3 linked regions of the Nothobranchius furzeri genome follow. The protein of the gene in region 2 purifies or fractionates together with the protein of the main gene of each other region. This does not show direct contact. Links are inferred from orthologs where the notes say so. Each region holds a gene or a part of one and is shown on either strand. Other genes may lie near its edges.

Region 1 (5,002 bases), on a different chromosome or scaffold from region 2:
GGCAGGAGCTCATCTATTATTGAACGTAAGGGAGTGTGGTAGTCATACTCGGGGTATTTTCAGCCTGTTTCAACACATTGTTGAGCATATTTTGGTTTGGTTAATGCGTCATGTTGGGCTGAGAAAGCTCCTGTTTTCTCTGAATGGAAACCGAAGCATGCGAGTCCTTCTTGAGTTTCAATGGACGGACCAGAACTGAAACGGGAGAGGGAAAAGGCTGGGAAAACCGTCAGGTTTAGGGTTGCGTCCGCCAACAGCGGCCGGGTCCTGGCTGAGGTGTTCAAGGATGAAAGGACTTGGTGCCGCTCAGTTTCAGAGTCGGTGGACTCTGACGGTACCGGCAGCTCAGAGACAGAGCAGGTCAGCTCGCCGCCCGCCAGTGAGGCCAACCGTCACCTGAACGGGCTGCAGGCTGCTGCGGACGAGAACGGCGGCGAACCCGATGACCTGCTTTTATACGCCAGTGCCAAGAGAGAGATGCTGTTCACCAACAAGAGGATCAACATCTGCAGCAAGAACGGGACGATCCGCGGGGTGAGGAACAAGGTGAGCGCAGGACAGGTGCTCTTCAACAACCTCTCCAATATGTACTCGGTAAGTTCTCTCCAAACTCTCTAAACATCTCAGCTTTGTGTTTGTGGGGGGAATAAAAAAGATCAATCCTTTTGGTTGAAGGGATCTCGTCAGAGAAGGTGGCCCTGGGACAAGGAGTAAGGAACACCTCCAAGGAGAAGGAGTCACAAGTATCCAGGAAGTCTGGTTGTTAAGGAAGAGTGCTTCTGCCATCAAAACTAACCCAATGATCAAAAGTTTCAGACACAATATTCAAATTTGTTGTTTAATGAGATGACGACACAAACAAAGTCCGATTGTGAGCATCAAATCAATAGAAAGATTTTATTTGTTATTCAGAAACATTATTTATTGTGTTTTCTGTGTCTTTTTGGTAGAATCTGACCTCCACAAATATTCATTTACTGTCACCATAACAACAAAGATTCACTAGAAGTTCAGTTAAATCACATCTTCTGACTCGTGTAAACGTCGTAATCTGCTGAAGAAGTTTCCTCAGAGCTCAGAGACACAAAAGAAGTTTTTATAAGATTTTTTATAAAATACCAGTTTAAACGGGAATGTCGTGTGATTTTGATATTTGTCGGAAAGTCCCTCGTTAATGTTTTTGTTAAACTTTTGTAATCAGGTTCAGATTGGATGCACTTCATAAACCTTGAATAAACCTTCATTTTCATTTCCTGGAAGATTTCTGCTTTGTTGATCCTGTTTTCCTATTTGGGAAGAAGGAAACTGACACATCCCTTTAAAACCAAACAAGTTTCTCCTACAGAACTCCAAAGTATTCCCAGAGAGCATAACGTATTCCCTCCGGTGAGTTCTGGCTTGGTGTGAAACTCCTCAAAGAGAAAACCAGGAGGCACCAACCACACCACCATGAAAACTGCTGTCGTTTTTCATTTCAGTGAAACTTCCCTGAATCCCAGTCTGACCTTCAGGGCATGTTCCCGAGCTTCCCTGCTTTACCGTTTAAACCATAAAATTCAGCAAATGAGGGCTATAAATTAATGACAGCATTTAGAGAAATTTTAGGGAACATTTACCTGAAGAAAACTTTTCCTGACCTTTAGCACAAACTTTCACAATATGGATTTCAGGAATGTTCCCTGAATGGTCTGAAAATAACCTTGTGACATTCAGGGAATGTTGTTTGTGGACTAAAACAAATCATGACTTTACAAATGGAGGACAAACAGGGAACACTCCGGAAGTGTACTCAAAAGGCTACACTTTGTAATCTTCGAGGAATCTTTCGTGGATTGTCCGGAATTGCAGTCTTCAGGGAAAATAAAGGGAACATTTAGGAAATGCTTTTGAGAGATTACAGTCCTGTTATGTTAACTCAAGCCTTTTCAATGTTCCCTCAGCGTTACAAAGTCATGACAAAAATTACATTTGGGGAATGTTCCCAAAACATATTTGAACTGTTAAATTATGTAATCTTTAGGGAATGTTCCCAAGGTATTCCCAGAAACATTAAACCCAACTTTCATATGAGACTTGCAGAAATTGAAACTAAAACTAATGATGACTGTTAGAGATCAATGAATTAATAAATAAAAGGCATTTCTTCGGAAAGCTAAAGAACTGCAGGAAAAAACTTTGGAATGAGGGGAAATTGTTCATAAGTTTATCTTACCTGTAGCCACTTGGAAAATGTTATTTATGTCTTCGTTTGTCTTCGTCTTCCTCCGCTTATCCGGGTCCGGGTCGCGGGGGCAGCATCCCAATTAGGGAGCTCCAGGCCGTCCTCTCCCTGGCCTTCTCCACCAGCTCCTCCGGCAGGACCCCAAGGCGTTCCCGGACCAGATTGGAGATGTAACCTCTCCAACGTGTCCTGGGTCGACCCGGGGGCCTTCTGCCGGCAGGACATGCCCGAAACACCTCCCCAGGGAGGCGTCCAGGAGGCATCCTGACCAGATGCCCAAACCACCTCAACTGGCTCCTTTCGATCCGGAGGAGCAGCGGTTCTACTCCGAGTCCCTCCCGAATGTCCGAGCTCCTCACCCTATCTCTAAGGCTGAGCCCGGCCACCCTACGGAGGAGACTCATTTCGGCCGCTTATGACTTATTTATGACTCATCAATATTATTATTATTATTATCATCATCATCATCATCATCATCATCGTCATCATTATTATTGTCATCATCATCATCATTATTATTATTATTATTATCATCATCATCATCATTATCATCATCGTCATCATCGTCATCATCGTCATTATTATTATTATCATTAATATTATTATTATTATTATTATCATCATTATTAGTGTCATCATCATCATCATCATCATCATTATTATTATTATCATCATCATCATCATTATCATCATCGTCATTATTATTATTATCATTAATATTATTATTATTATTATTATCATCATTATTAGTGTCATCATCATCATCATCATCATTATTATTATTATTATTATTATTATCATTATTATCATTATTATTATCATCATCATCATCATTATTATTATTATCATCATCATCATTATTATTATTATTATTATTATCACCATCATTATTATTATTATTATTATCATCATCATCATCATTATTATTATTATTATTATTATTATTATTATACGTCTTGTTTATTATCTCAAGCCCCAGTGGGAGAGTGTCAGCTTTACGCACCAACGGCTCACCTGCTCCATCAGCACCGCGGACCCGGAGCGCCGCAGCGGGTTTCGCTTCTCCATCCTTTCACTGCGGCACTGAGGGCTGGGGAAACGCTCCAGCAGGGGGGAGACTTTCTGAAGACTTCCCTCTTCCCCTCCACCAGAATGGTCCAATTTTCCCGGGTTTCATCGAGTCCCGTCAGAATGAAATGATAGATGTAACGCGGCGGCTCGTCTGGGATGAGAGACGCTGCAGAGGCAGAAAAAGGTGGAGAAACCTCCTCCTCCTCATCCTCTCTCCTTCTTCCTCCATCTCCACGCCCCATCATTGTTGTCAATAGCAGCCCGGCACCATGTCTCCTCCAGCGTCGGCGGCCCCGGCGACTGAAAGCAGCACGACCACCACCGTGTTCGAGGAAGACAGCAGGGAGGAGGTAGAGACCGTTTCTGTTGTCGCAGTGCTTAAATGTGTCCAAAGGCGCGCTGCGCGTGCAGACTGCACGAGCTCGCGGTGTTTTTCAAAGATGTTTACGCACTAGTCTGTTTTATGGTTTATCTAAATGATCTAATGATGCTGACCCCAGAAGACCCGTGATTATCCGGACAGCCTGTCACCTTTCATCTGCTGCAGCAGGGCCTGGAGCTCAGCAGTCACACTTGACTAACAGCTATTAGAGACATGCCACGATGTGTAATCCTGCCTTAGTGGGTTTGATGCAGACGGGGAGCCTTCTTTCATTCCTTACTGGTTCTGCTGTTAAACAGCACATTTACTTTATGACAATTAAAACGCTTCTCTATAAAATACAATAAAAATAACTTGTAGTGATTCTGGGAATGCAAGGTGTAGCACAAAAATGAAAAAAAATTCCTTTAGCGTGCACAAATCAGCAGAATAACGTGCAAAAAGCAGAACCTCAAAACACAAGAAATGAACTTAAACTGCCAAATAGTGATAATTTACCACAATCAGACCAATATTTACAAAAAAGAAGAGCATAACAGGCACAGATGGGAGTTTTTCTCCTTTCTAAATGGCCAAAGATGTCTTTGTGTACAATCTGGGATAGCTGGGTCTATAAATGCTGAGCGTTCCCGCATTTGTTGGCTTACACCGGCTGACAAAAAGCTCCAGAGTTGTCCGAAGATCCTAAGCCAGTAAAAAGGAGTGACCCAGAAGTTATTTCTTGTACCGCTAAGAAGCCACAACGTTATTTTTTTACTCTAAACTTGGGTGAAGCAGGCTAGAGGCTAACGTTGAGCTAACAATGCTAACAGTAAATTAGAAACAAATCAAAAAATACATCAAGCTACTTTTTCAATTACCAACAGCTCGTATTACAGTGAAATAAATGTATTTATCTACTTATCAACTTCGTGTTTCTGAATCGTCTTGGCTCGTCATCTACAGCCCTCTGGTGCTGACCCGTAACTCGCCACAGCCACGAGTCATGCAACGGGAGCGAAAGAGTGAAATGGACTGACGTACCCTAACGTAACCACAGGGTGTCATTTTTCCGTTCTTGCTTCACACCCCTTTAAACGTTGTTTTGCAGGAAATCGTGTTAGACCACTTGCTTTTATTAATGCCTTTAAATGTGATGCCAAAGAATGTTTTCTAACATTTCTCAACCACTTCCTCTTTTTATTTTTTTGCAACAGCAAAGACCGCTGAAACAATCCCTGAGCAAGTCGTTTTGTCGGGAGAGTTTCTGGAAATGTCTTCTCCTGTCCGTCCTCATGTACGGCTGCATGGGAGCGATGGTCTGGTGTACCGTCACCAAGGTGACGCGC
Region 2 (4,711 bases):
CAGTTGACCAAATCATGAAATTTAATTACTTTATATTTTATAAATAATGGCTTAGATGGAGCTGTACTATGAGTGTTGTCTATAATTCTCATTGCTCTTTTCTGCAAAACAAACAAAGGTTGTGTATACGTTCTATATGCAGTTCCCCAGATTTCTACACAATAATTTAAGTATGGCAGAATCAGTGCATTGTATAGTAATAACAATCCTTCACTATTTAGTACAAACTTTACACTATATAATACTGCAACGACTTTGGCCATTTTACCTTTTATATAGCCTATATGTGATTTCCAGCTTAGAGCTTCATCAATCATTACTCCCAGTCATTTGACAGTGTTGTTAAAACATGAAAATATGTTGAAAAAAGTCAGATTAAAGTTCAAAGTGGGTCCAAAGCTAATTTCTATGATTGTTGGAGAACCGTTTCAGCTAAGCTAATGCCTTTTCCAGGAAGCATTTACTCCCACCTCTAACAAACCCTAACCCCAATGCTGCTGCAAAGGTCCAGCTCAAGACGCGGTTCTGAGCATTTACTTCCTCTGCTGCACAACAACAGAAGACAAGTTTGAGATCACTTGAATAAACTTTCCTCAGACGTTCCTGCAGCCTCTAAAGCCTAATTCATGCTTCTCCCTCAGCGTCCCGAGGGAGAGACGCACGGACGGAGATGTTTTGCCCTCAGACTTCTCCGTTTTCTGACCCTGTTTTGTACGTAAGCAAGCTTGATATATGAGACCCCTGGTCTACAGGGCCTTACATGGACAAGCACCATCTTACATTGGTGATCTTCTTAGTCCCTACACCCCCAGCAGGTCCCTGAGGTCCAGTGATCAAAGCCTACTGGTTGTGCAGCACCAGGCTAAAGGTCAAAGGTGACAGATCATCTGCTGCTGTGGCCCCCAGACTCTGGACCTCTCTCCCCCTGCGCCTGAGATCAGTGGACTCAGTGGTCTCCTTCAAAAAGCAGCTGAAGACTCACCTGTTCAGGCTTTTGCGTGACCTTCATCACCACCCTCTCCTTATTCTGCTCTTTATACCCATTACGCCCTTCTCAGTGTTCCAACTAACCATGCTACTCGTTGATATGTGCTACTTTGGGGAAATGCACATGCACAGACCGATCACAGGCTGTTTCCCTAAAGAGACGCGCTACCTCTGGAAGTTTCTGCTTGTTGTAGGTTTACCTGACAGCTTGTAAAATATCATTATACTGTGAAGTAATTTCTCCCATAGTTTACCATCATTCATGACAAACTGTCTTTTTCATAAAAAAATCACGACAAACATTGTAAATTGTTGCTAATAATTATACTACAGTTCTGTATTTTTGAGTAATATTACCTATTTAAAATAAAACGTGCTTAATAAGTGCGTTATTATACTGTAAACAAGAGCAAAACTGTCGTAACATGATGCAGTAGGAATATTCCACGAGGAAGCAGGGATAGTCAGAACACCCTCATGGACGTCCATCTTTCCTATTAATTTTCTCTCTGTTTTCTTACATTTTTAAATCATAATTGTTTTTTTCTAATCTTAAACATGTCTTTAAATAATTTCAATAAATGTTTTTCATATTTTAAATTTCGCTATAAAAGACAGTTTTCTTTCTTTCGTTCACACCGCTTGGTGGCAGTAATGCGCCATCTTGTTGTTTGTCAACCGCCAATAAAAATCCAGAAGAAGCCACAGAAGAACACGTGTTTCCGGTTTGAGTAGCTGCAGTTGGCAAGCCGCTAATAAACAGTAGAAATGGTTCGTAAATTGAAACACCATGAGCAGAAGCTGCTGAAGAAGGTGGACTTTATTAACTGGGAGGTGGACAACAACCTTCACGAGGTCAAGGTGCTGCGGAGGTATCATATCGAGAAGCGGGAGGACTACATGAAGTAAGCTAGCTGCTAAACCTACCTGATATTTATCTTTATATAATTAGATAGTTTAGACAGTGTTCACTCGTTAAATCACAGACTGTATGAAGCTAATTTAACGCTAATGTTCAGAAAGCACGCTGTCCACTGAGGTGGACATGTAATAAATTATTTGTAAATGATTAAATGTTTGTTGAAGTTTGTTTCATTCACACCTAAAGATGAATGAAAAAAATTGTTTAAAAAATCATGGTTGAAGATTTCATAATTCATGCATCAAAGGGTTCCCTTTTTCTGTAAATTTGTGTGCAACAGTGTTGTTAATGATTTGATCTATTTAAAAATACTTATAATTAAAAGAATGAACACGATTTAAACGTTTATTGTGGGTAAATTTGTGTGCAAGATAAAACAGCGTTTTTTAATGATTTTTGATTAAAAAATTCTTTAATTGAAAAGAATAAACATGATTTAAACTCTTTTTGTAAAATTGCGTGCAAGATAAAACTGCGTTTTTTTATTTATTTAAAAATACTTTTAATTAAAAGAATAAACACAATTTAAACATCCCTTCTTTTTTTTTGTAAAATTGTTGGCAAGGTAAAACCCATCAAGTACTATGTCCTCCCCAATGTTCATAAAGATCTGATGTGGTATTTCAAAATAAAGTGCAATCAAAGTTGACTATAAAGACAATTTTCCCCATATTCAATGGTTTCTTTCTCTAAAAACAGTTTGATTGCGCTACATCATTCCACTTCAGTATTACAGTACACATTGAGTACTACATCCTCCCCGACTTTCATAAAGATGTGATGTGGCATTTCGAAATAAAGTGCAATCAAATTTGTCAATGACAATTTTCACTATATATATATATATATATAAATGTCACATCAGAATTAACGATGTACCCAAACAAGTTCATTTAACGATCATTCCTGAACTTGTTCCTTGTTTTATTTTTGAGTGTAAACCAAACTCACGAATTTTGCCTGGGGGGGGGGGGGGGGGGTGTTTACGGTTAACCATGCATTGACTCATTTGCTGTGTCTGGTTTTCTCCACACTTAGAATTACGGCCGTACATCAGCACCTCACCTAACACACTATTGTAGGCGTGTTTTGTCGGAGCGGGCGTGGGCAGAGCTTTGCCAAAAATTAACCATTTCATTTCCGGGTGTAAATTCAGGGTGACGAAAATGACTCGTTTATAAGATAAATGACATCTCAGCAGTACAGCATCCATACAGCACAATGTCTCAATCCAGAATGACTTCCTATCTCTGGCTCCTTCAAAGGCAGTTGGAAATCTGGGTGTTGTGATTGATGAACACCTGACCTTTAAAGATCACGTTGCCTCTGTTGCTCGTTCATGCCGCTTTGCGCTGTATAACATACGAAAGATCAGACCATACCTAACATAACATGCCACCCAGCTCCTGGTGCAATCTACTGTCATCTCCCGCCTCGATTACTGCAACGCCCTTCTAACTGGTCTTCCAGCCTGGACTGTCAGACCTGTTCAGATGGTCCAGAACGCAGCGGCGCGTCTGGTCTTCAATCAGCCAAAAAGAGCACACGTCACCCCTCTGTTCATTGAGCTCCACTGGCTACCGCTAGCAGCACGCATCAAATTCAAATTGCTAACACTAGCATACAAAGTCCGAGACGGTACGGCTCCCATCTACCTGAATCCTCTTGCAAAGGCTTACGTCTCGGCCCGGCCGCTCCGGTCATCACAGGATGGTCGGCTAGCAGTGCCTACACCACGCTCAGGACAATCCAGACTCTTCTCATGCATCGTTCCACAAATGTGGAATGACCTACCAAGCACTACCAGAACAGGGGCTTCCTTTTCAATTTTCAAGAAACTCCTGAAGACCCTGCTCTTCAGAGAGCATCTTCTAAACTAGCACCCTCCCTGCACCCGTCCCCCCCTCTCTACTGTCCACTCCTTGTTCCCTCCTCTCCATGACTGATGTCAAGTTGTTGTTGTTGTTGTTAGCCTCAAGGGCAACATGCCGATTATCACTTGTAAGTCGCGTTGGACAAAAGCGTCTGCTAAATACATAAACATAGTACTAATGGTAGTATATTATGATGTACTGTGTCTACCTTTGCTCTCAGTGGTTTAAAATAGCAGGATATGGAACCTTTATGGGCTTCAATAACCGGTTAAAAATGTTTTGGGAAACGTGCGTCCCTATTATGTCTGTTTTTCCTGATCTTTTTAATTTGATGCTGGATGCTTAAATGAAGTTAAATAGAAACGTTTAGCTAACCGAGTGCTAAACTTGGCATGGGCACAACCTGCAGCAGCAGCCTGGAGTGGTGGTGTTTACGGCAGCGCTACCCTGGCTGAACATTTCTGCTAGAGGAGCTTTAAACCCTATTTATTTTGCTCAGGTACAACAAGCTGAGTCGCAGCATCAGAAATCTGGCTCAGAAGATTCGAGACCTGGATGAGAAGGATGGCTTCAGAGCTCAGAGTACGCACCACCTGTTAGAAAAGCTGTAAGTTGCTCCTGTCGTGCTCACACAGAAACCAGTCTGTAACTCTAACATGGCCGCGCGTGTTTGTACCCGTTTACCTCGAACGCAGCTTTAGCTCCACCCACTGATGGTTTATGCTGGTGAAGGTTCTCACTCGGTCTTACAGGTCATGGTGATCCAAAAGGCAGCTGGACCTCTTAGGTTTCTTGGAGTCGTTTCACTTCTCGTCTGAGGAGCTTTGTCAATTCTAACTGGAATATAGGAGAGCTGTTGCTGTCTGTTGTTTTTAACGAGCAGAAACTACTCTGAGTACCCTACCTCTCTACCCCTGAGTTGTTGGCC
Region 3 (4,823 bases), on a different chromosome or scaffold from region 2:
GTAACAAATTACTATCTGACCTGTTGTTACTTTCCTGGAGGGCCTCTATGTGGAGAAATCGTTTATGTTCAGCAGGACAAACACAGCCATATTGCTGCCACCTTAAAACATTTCTGTCATTAAAGAATATGGATTTTATTTTACACTGAGGTTGTCTGATACGACACAGTGAGTTCCAGCCAGATTTGACCTGGGTGCTCCGGATCTGCTACATTTTGTAGCCGGTGAAGTCTCATGAGGCCCTAAGAAACCGTTTTACCTCATGAGTCCTGTAGAATACAACCTCCATTTCTCCCAACTGACTCTGTTCAGCCATTTACAGCAGGTGAAATCAGATGCACGACATTTCTGCATCAACACTTATCGGCTGTTTATCGTATTTTACACATCTGTATCAGTCTGATGACTAAAGCTGGGCCTTTAAAACAATGTTTCTTTAACTCTAGTAACTATTTATCACTTTTACACAAAAACATCGTCCCAAAAACACCTCCTGTAACCTGAGGAGTAGGGGTGCACTGGTATCAAATACTATTATTGCTGTTGAGATGATTGATGTCACCTGACCAGACAAATACCACTCGACCTACACCTTCCTGAAACAGATACACAAACATCAGTTGTTAATATACGCCCAGCTTACGATATGTTAAAAATGACCAACGTTGGTCGGTGCTGCACATCACTATCAGAACACTATTACCCAAATCTGTTAAATCAAACTTAACAGGCTTCAGTCAGCTTATTCCCCAGATTAAAAATCCACATCATGCCCACCCCGTCTCATCTGTGGACAGATCGCACTCCTGTCCACTCAGACCAGATGAGACAGCTCTCTGAGACGAACCCGTGATTCCAGTAGAGCGTAAACACCTCAGAGGAACGATCCCAGTTGAACAGGAGCTCATAAAAAATGTTAACCACGAGCTGCTCGTTTTTACCAACTTGCTGCTCGCTGTTTGGCGCAGACACACAATAATCTTCTCGTTGGTGATTTTCCACGAATAAAACTTGCTGTAAAATGATCATTTAAGAGCTTCCTCCTCTCACCTTCCCTGGTGGGATCTGTCCATCTCTGACCATCTGCAGGAGGGGTTTCAGCTCATCCTTCAGTTCAGTGAGCTGCACAAGTCACACAAAACAACATGTCACCGTCTAAAAGTTCATGACTTGTACAGCTGCGCTGTCAGTGTTCCTGTCTGACCTTTGCCCTGAAGTCCTGAATGAGTTCAAGCAGCTCTGGGGATTCCTTTTTTAAAAGCTTCATTTTCTCCTTCTGAGACATCTGCTTTAAGTCTTTCACAATCCTCTCCTGCTTTTCCACCGGCTTGCTTTCATCCTTGTCCTTCGCAGCAAACTCCTTCAAAAGGTGACCAGATTGAAAAGAATCAGTTATTATGTTATACTTTACTGTAAGCAAACAAAACAAATTAAATAAAAAAATACCTGAAAAAAGCTCAAATCATAATCTTCCTCGCTCAGAGTCGCTGCCAAACGTTTCTGGATACTTATCGCCTCTTCTTCTTCCTCCTGCTCCTCCACCTCCAACTCTTCCCGTGGTTTCCCTTCTGTGATGGCAGGAATAAAAGGTTGGGTGTGTAAATATCAGTCCTGCGTGGGATTAAAGCAAACCCAACGAACAGAGGTAAAAGATGCGTACTGGTAGCAACGTAATCAGAGTCGTAGAACATTTTCTTTCTGGTGCCCCACGCCATCTCATTGGGAAGATCTGAGGATGACAAGACAAAATTAAATAATATCAGTGATTAAAGCAAGCTTAAAAACAACCGTGGACTCGCCTTCTTCCTTTTTTTCCTCCAGGTCACTCTCCATATCTGTCCCATCATCCTTGTTTTCCTCCTCCTCTTCTTCTGTTTCTGAATCATCAAGAGCCATCACCTCCTCCTGGGAAATTTAGACAAAACTTCTGTTTCTTCTAAAAACATTTTAATTTTAACCCTAAATAAACAGAAACCAAAATACCTCATCATCCAGCTCCTCTTCGTCACTCTCCATTTGAACGCCACGGGCGAGAAGTTTCTGTGACACCACAGAAGAAAATATTCAATACACAAAACAACCACATTGTTCTCAAGGATTAAAATAGGAGAACTTACAGCTATTTTCTCATCGTGAAACTCATCGATTTTGTCTTTTATGAACTCTAAAGACTTCTGTAAAAGAGAGAAGACACTGAAAACTTGATCTGGAGAATAATCATACCTGGAAAAAGCATTTTAAGTGCAGAACTGGGAGGAAAACTTCACATTTGCACTGTTATTCCTTTCATAAAAAGCGTAATTGAATAAACAAAACGTTTTGGTCCATTATTCTTTTTTAGATCAATGGTTTGTCTTTTCATTCAAAATTAAGAACCATTTTAAAGAGCAAGTCAACCCCTACCAGAGTCTAACTCCACTCCTGCTTCATGTTTGAAAAATGCAACACATGCTGTTGCCTGGCAGACCGAGAGGGCGGAGCCGCTAACAAATACACACACACTCAGGCTCACGACAGCATTGTGACATCATAATGTACCAGTTTACATCATAGCATACTTCTTAGCCAATAGCGGTGGCAGATTTAAATTAAAATACAGTGCAGAGTTTTTACCTGACAACGGCACAACACTGCCAGTTTTAGGCAGAATATTTAAATTTTAACTAAGATGCACTGAAGTGCCAAATTATTGACGACACGTGTCTGCAGCACGATTAGACACTCGTTTATTTAGTTTATCAGCAAAAAAAAGTTTATTTGGGGGTGACTTGCTCTTTAAGTAGATGAAATAATTCTATATTTATTAGTTACCTTATCAGGAACAGGCATTTTTCTGTAGGCTTCAGGGTCATCGTCGTCATATTGTTGCTTCGTCTGAGGCCTTCGGGTTTGTTTCCTCCTGTAAAGAAAAAAAGTCACCATCGGGTGCATTTGCAGCCTTTTATTTGACGTTGTTTTTGTTTTGTATTTACTTTCATCCAAATTCCATTTTTGGTTCTTTTTAAAACACATATAAAGTTTTTCCAAAGAAAACCTGGGTTCAAATCTAAAGGAAACCTTTATTTGTGTTTAAAAAAGAACCAAAAATGGAATTTGAAGACAAACATAGCAAGAACGTACAAAATATTACTTTCATCCAGTTATTAAAGGCTAGGAGGTAAATTAACCAGTAATCGCTTTAACTAAACCCACCTTGTAGCTCGAACCATGACTGCAGCAACCCGAGTTCTTCAACTACTTTAAAAACAAACGCAAAAAGGCTCAAATCAATCAATTCAAACAAAAGTTAAGAAATATGTTCAGTCACAGTAATGTTGACGCCATGTGCTTCCGTGATTCTTCTTCTCTGGTTGAAAAACACGCACACCGCCACCTACCGAGCAGGAGCGTAATTGTTTATTTTTTAGTTTGTAAATAAAATAAATAAAATCCTGCCACCTGAAAACATTAATTTAAAAATATTAAACATGCATTTTTTTTAAATGTTTTTCCTAGACAAAATAGTTTTGTTCTAAAGAATTTCACGAATGAGCAAATATTTAATAAAAAATTTTCATGAAAAAAGTTTATTATTCATTACTGGAAAAGAAAATTACCTTTATTTCTTTTCTAATTTTTTAATCTTTAAAATGTATTAAAAATTTTGTTAGAATATGAAAACAGTAAAAATTGTTTTTGATGATTTGACTATTAAATTCAATTCAATTCAAATTTATTTATATAGCGCCAAATCACGACAAGAGTCGTCTCAAGGCACTTCACATAATAAACATTCCAATTCACAGTTCATTACCAAAAAATAAAAACGTTTTACAGAAAGTAGCAGTGCTTCACAATACAACAGAATAAAAGGGAAAACATAAACAATTTTAATAAAATAGAAAAAGTTTATATCAAAGGCAATCAAAATTTTAAAATTAACAAAATATTCACTAACATCTAAAGGTCCATCTTTTCTTAATCTGATGTAAAACTTGCAATAAAACATTTTTAAAATGTAGTTTATTTCACATTTGAGCCATGACTACTTGTAAAAAATAATCCATCTGAGTTTAAATCAGTCCTGAGGAATTACTTTGAGTCCTGGAGAACCTGAGAATAGTTTTACAATGAAATAACATACTGAGGAGTGTGTAGTTGGCAAATGTATCAATGATTTTTTTTAAATGACGGTTTAATCATGAGTTATGAGTCATTTCATTTCCTTGACGTAGGAGCTGCAAAGCAGCATTTGGTACCACACGTGAAAGATTTGTCTCAGCCGATATGGCTTCTATAACACATTTGATTATTCTTTCATTTAAAGGTGTGGATCACTTTAAAACCAGTTTAATTATTATTTCTGATTAAAATTAGTCATGAGTTTTTCATACTGGCTGAACATGAAAATAGTCTCCTACACTTTTGTCTTGCATTTGCTTGTGATAGAAAACAGATGGTGAAACTGTAGGATTTGAAAAGCCTGATAGCTCTACGTCAGCTGGTAACTTGGACTCACCCATTTTGGCTCACGACGGGGAAGGCTGTTGTTGTTTTAGCGTCCAGGAAACAGCATTGAACATCTCGGCAAGCATAAGCTACCTGTTAGCATTAGAAACTCAACCACATGCAGAACTCCTCCAGTTTGTATTTGAGGATATAAAACATTAACGTTTCAAAGCAAACTGAATCAGTGGTAGAGTTGCTTTGCTGTTAGTCAATCAGAGGTGAGATATTCAAATATTAGGAAATAAAACCCCAAATCCTGCTGTCTGCTGCCACTCATGGGCCCAATCCCAATACTTGCACTACCACATTGCACCCGATTCTTAAGTTCAGAAGTT

The links. Proteins that work in one complex are often made in the same cells at the same time.
Region 1: the proteins of imp3 (region 2) and utp25 purify together in Homo sapiens (affinity purification with mass spectrometry; 3 studies listed by BioGRID and IntAct, with this or other methods). This does not show direct contact. The link is inferred for Nothobranchius furzeri from reciprocal best matches to the Homo sapiens genes IMP3 and UTP25.
Region 3: the proteins of imp3 (region 2) and utp3 purify together in Homo sapiens (affinity purification with mass spectrometry; 3 studies listed by BioGRID and IntAct, with this or other methods). This does not show direct contact. The link is inferred for Nothobranchius furzeri from reciprocal best matches to the Homo sapiens genes IMP3 and UTP3.

The regions. Positions count from the first base shown.
Region 1 is NC_091758.1:40,769,224-40,774,225, forward strand, and holds the start of utp25 (U3 small nucleolar RNA-associated protein 25 homolog), read right to left. Parts: upstream 3,354-5,002; 5' UTR 3,290-3,353; coding exon 3,225-3,289; intron 2,277-3,224; exon of another isoform or gene 715-2,276; coding exon of another isoform or gene 676-714; intron 595-675; coding exon of another isoform or gene 181-594; exon of another isoform or gene 1-180. Other genes in the region: grxcr1b (glutaredoxin domain-containing cysteine-rich protein 1), read left to right, coding at 181-594, 676-714; transmembrane protein 151B, read left to right, coding at 3,562-3,642, 4,871-5,002. UniProt on the Homo sapiens protein: Component of the ribosomal small subunit processome for the biogenesis of ribosomes, functions in pre-ribosomal RNA (pre-rRNA) processing. Essential for embryonic development in part through the regulation of p53 pathway.
Region 2 is NC_091751.1:70,487,112-70,491,822, reverse strand, and holds the start of imp3 (U3 small nucleolar ribonucleoprotein protein IMP3), read left to right. Parts: upstream 1-1,533; 5' UTR 1,534-1,755; coding exon 1,756-1,892; intron 1,893-4,282; coding exon 4,283-4,390; intron 4,391-4,711. UniProt on the Homo sapiens protein: Component of the 60-80S U3 small nucleolar ribonucleoprotein (U3 snoRNP). Required for the early cleavages during pre-18S ribosomal RNA processing. Part of the small subunit (SSU) processome, first precursor of the small eukaryotic ribosomal subunit.
Region 3 is NC_091743.1:64,230,811-64,235,633, reverse strand, and holds the start of utp3 (something about silencing protein 10), read right to left. Parts: upstream 3,354-4,823; 5' UTR 3,210-3,353; coding exon 3,193-3,209; intron 2,900-3,192; coding exon 2,812-2,899; intron 2,175-2,811; coding exon 2,118-2,174; intron 2,041-2,117; coding exon 1,984-2,040; intron 1,906-1,983; coding exon 1,800-1,905; intron 1,730-1,799; coding exon 1,661-1,729; intron 1,569-1,660; coding exon 1,447-1,568; intron 1,361-1,446; coding exon 1,205-1,360; intron 1,123-1,204; coding exon 1,051-1,122; intron 1-1,050. UniProt on the Homo sapiens protein: Essential for gene silencing: has a role in the structure of silenced chromatin. Plays a role in the developing brain. Part of the small subunit (SSU) processome, first precursor of the small eukaryotic ribosomal subunit.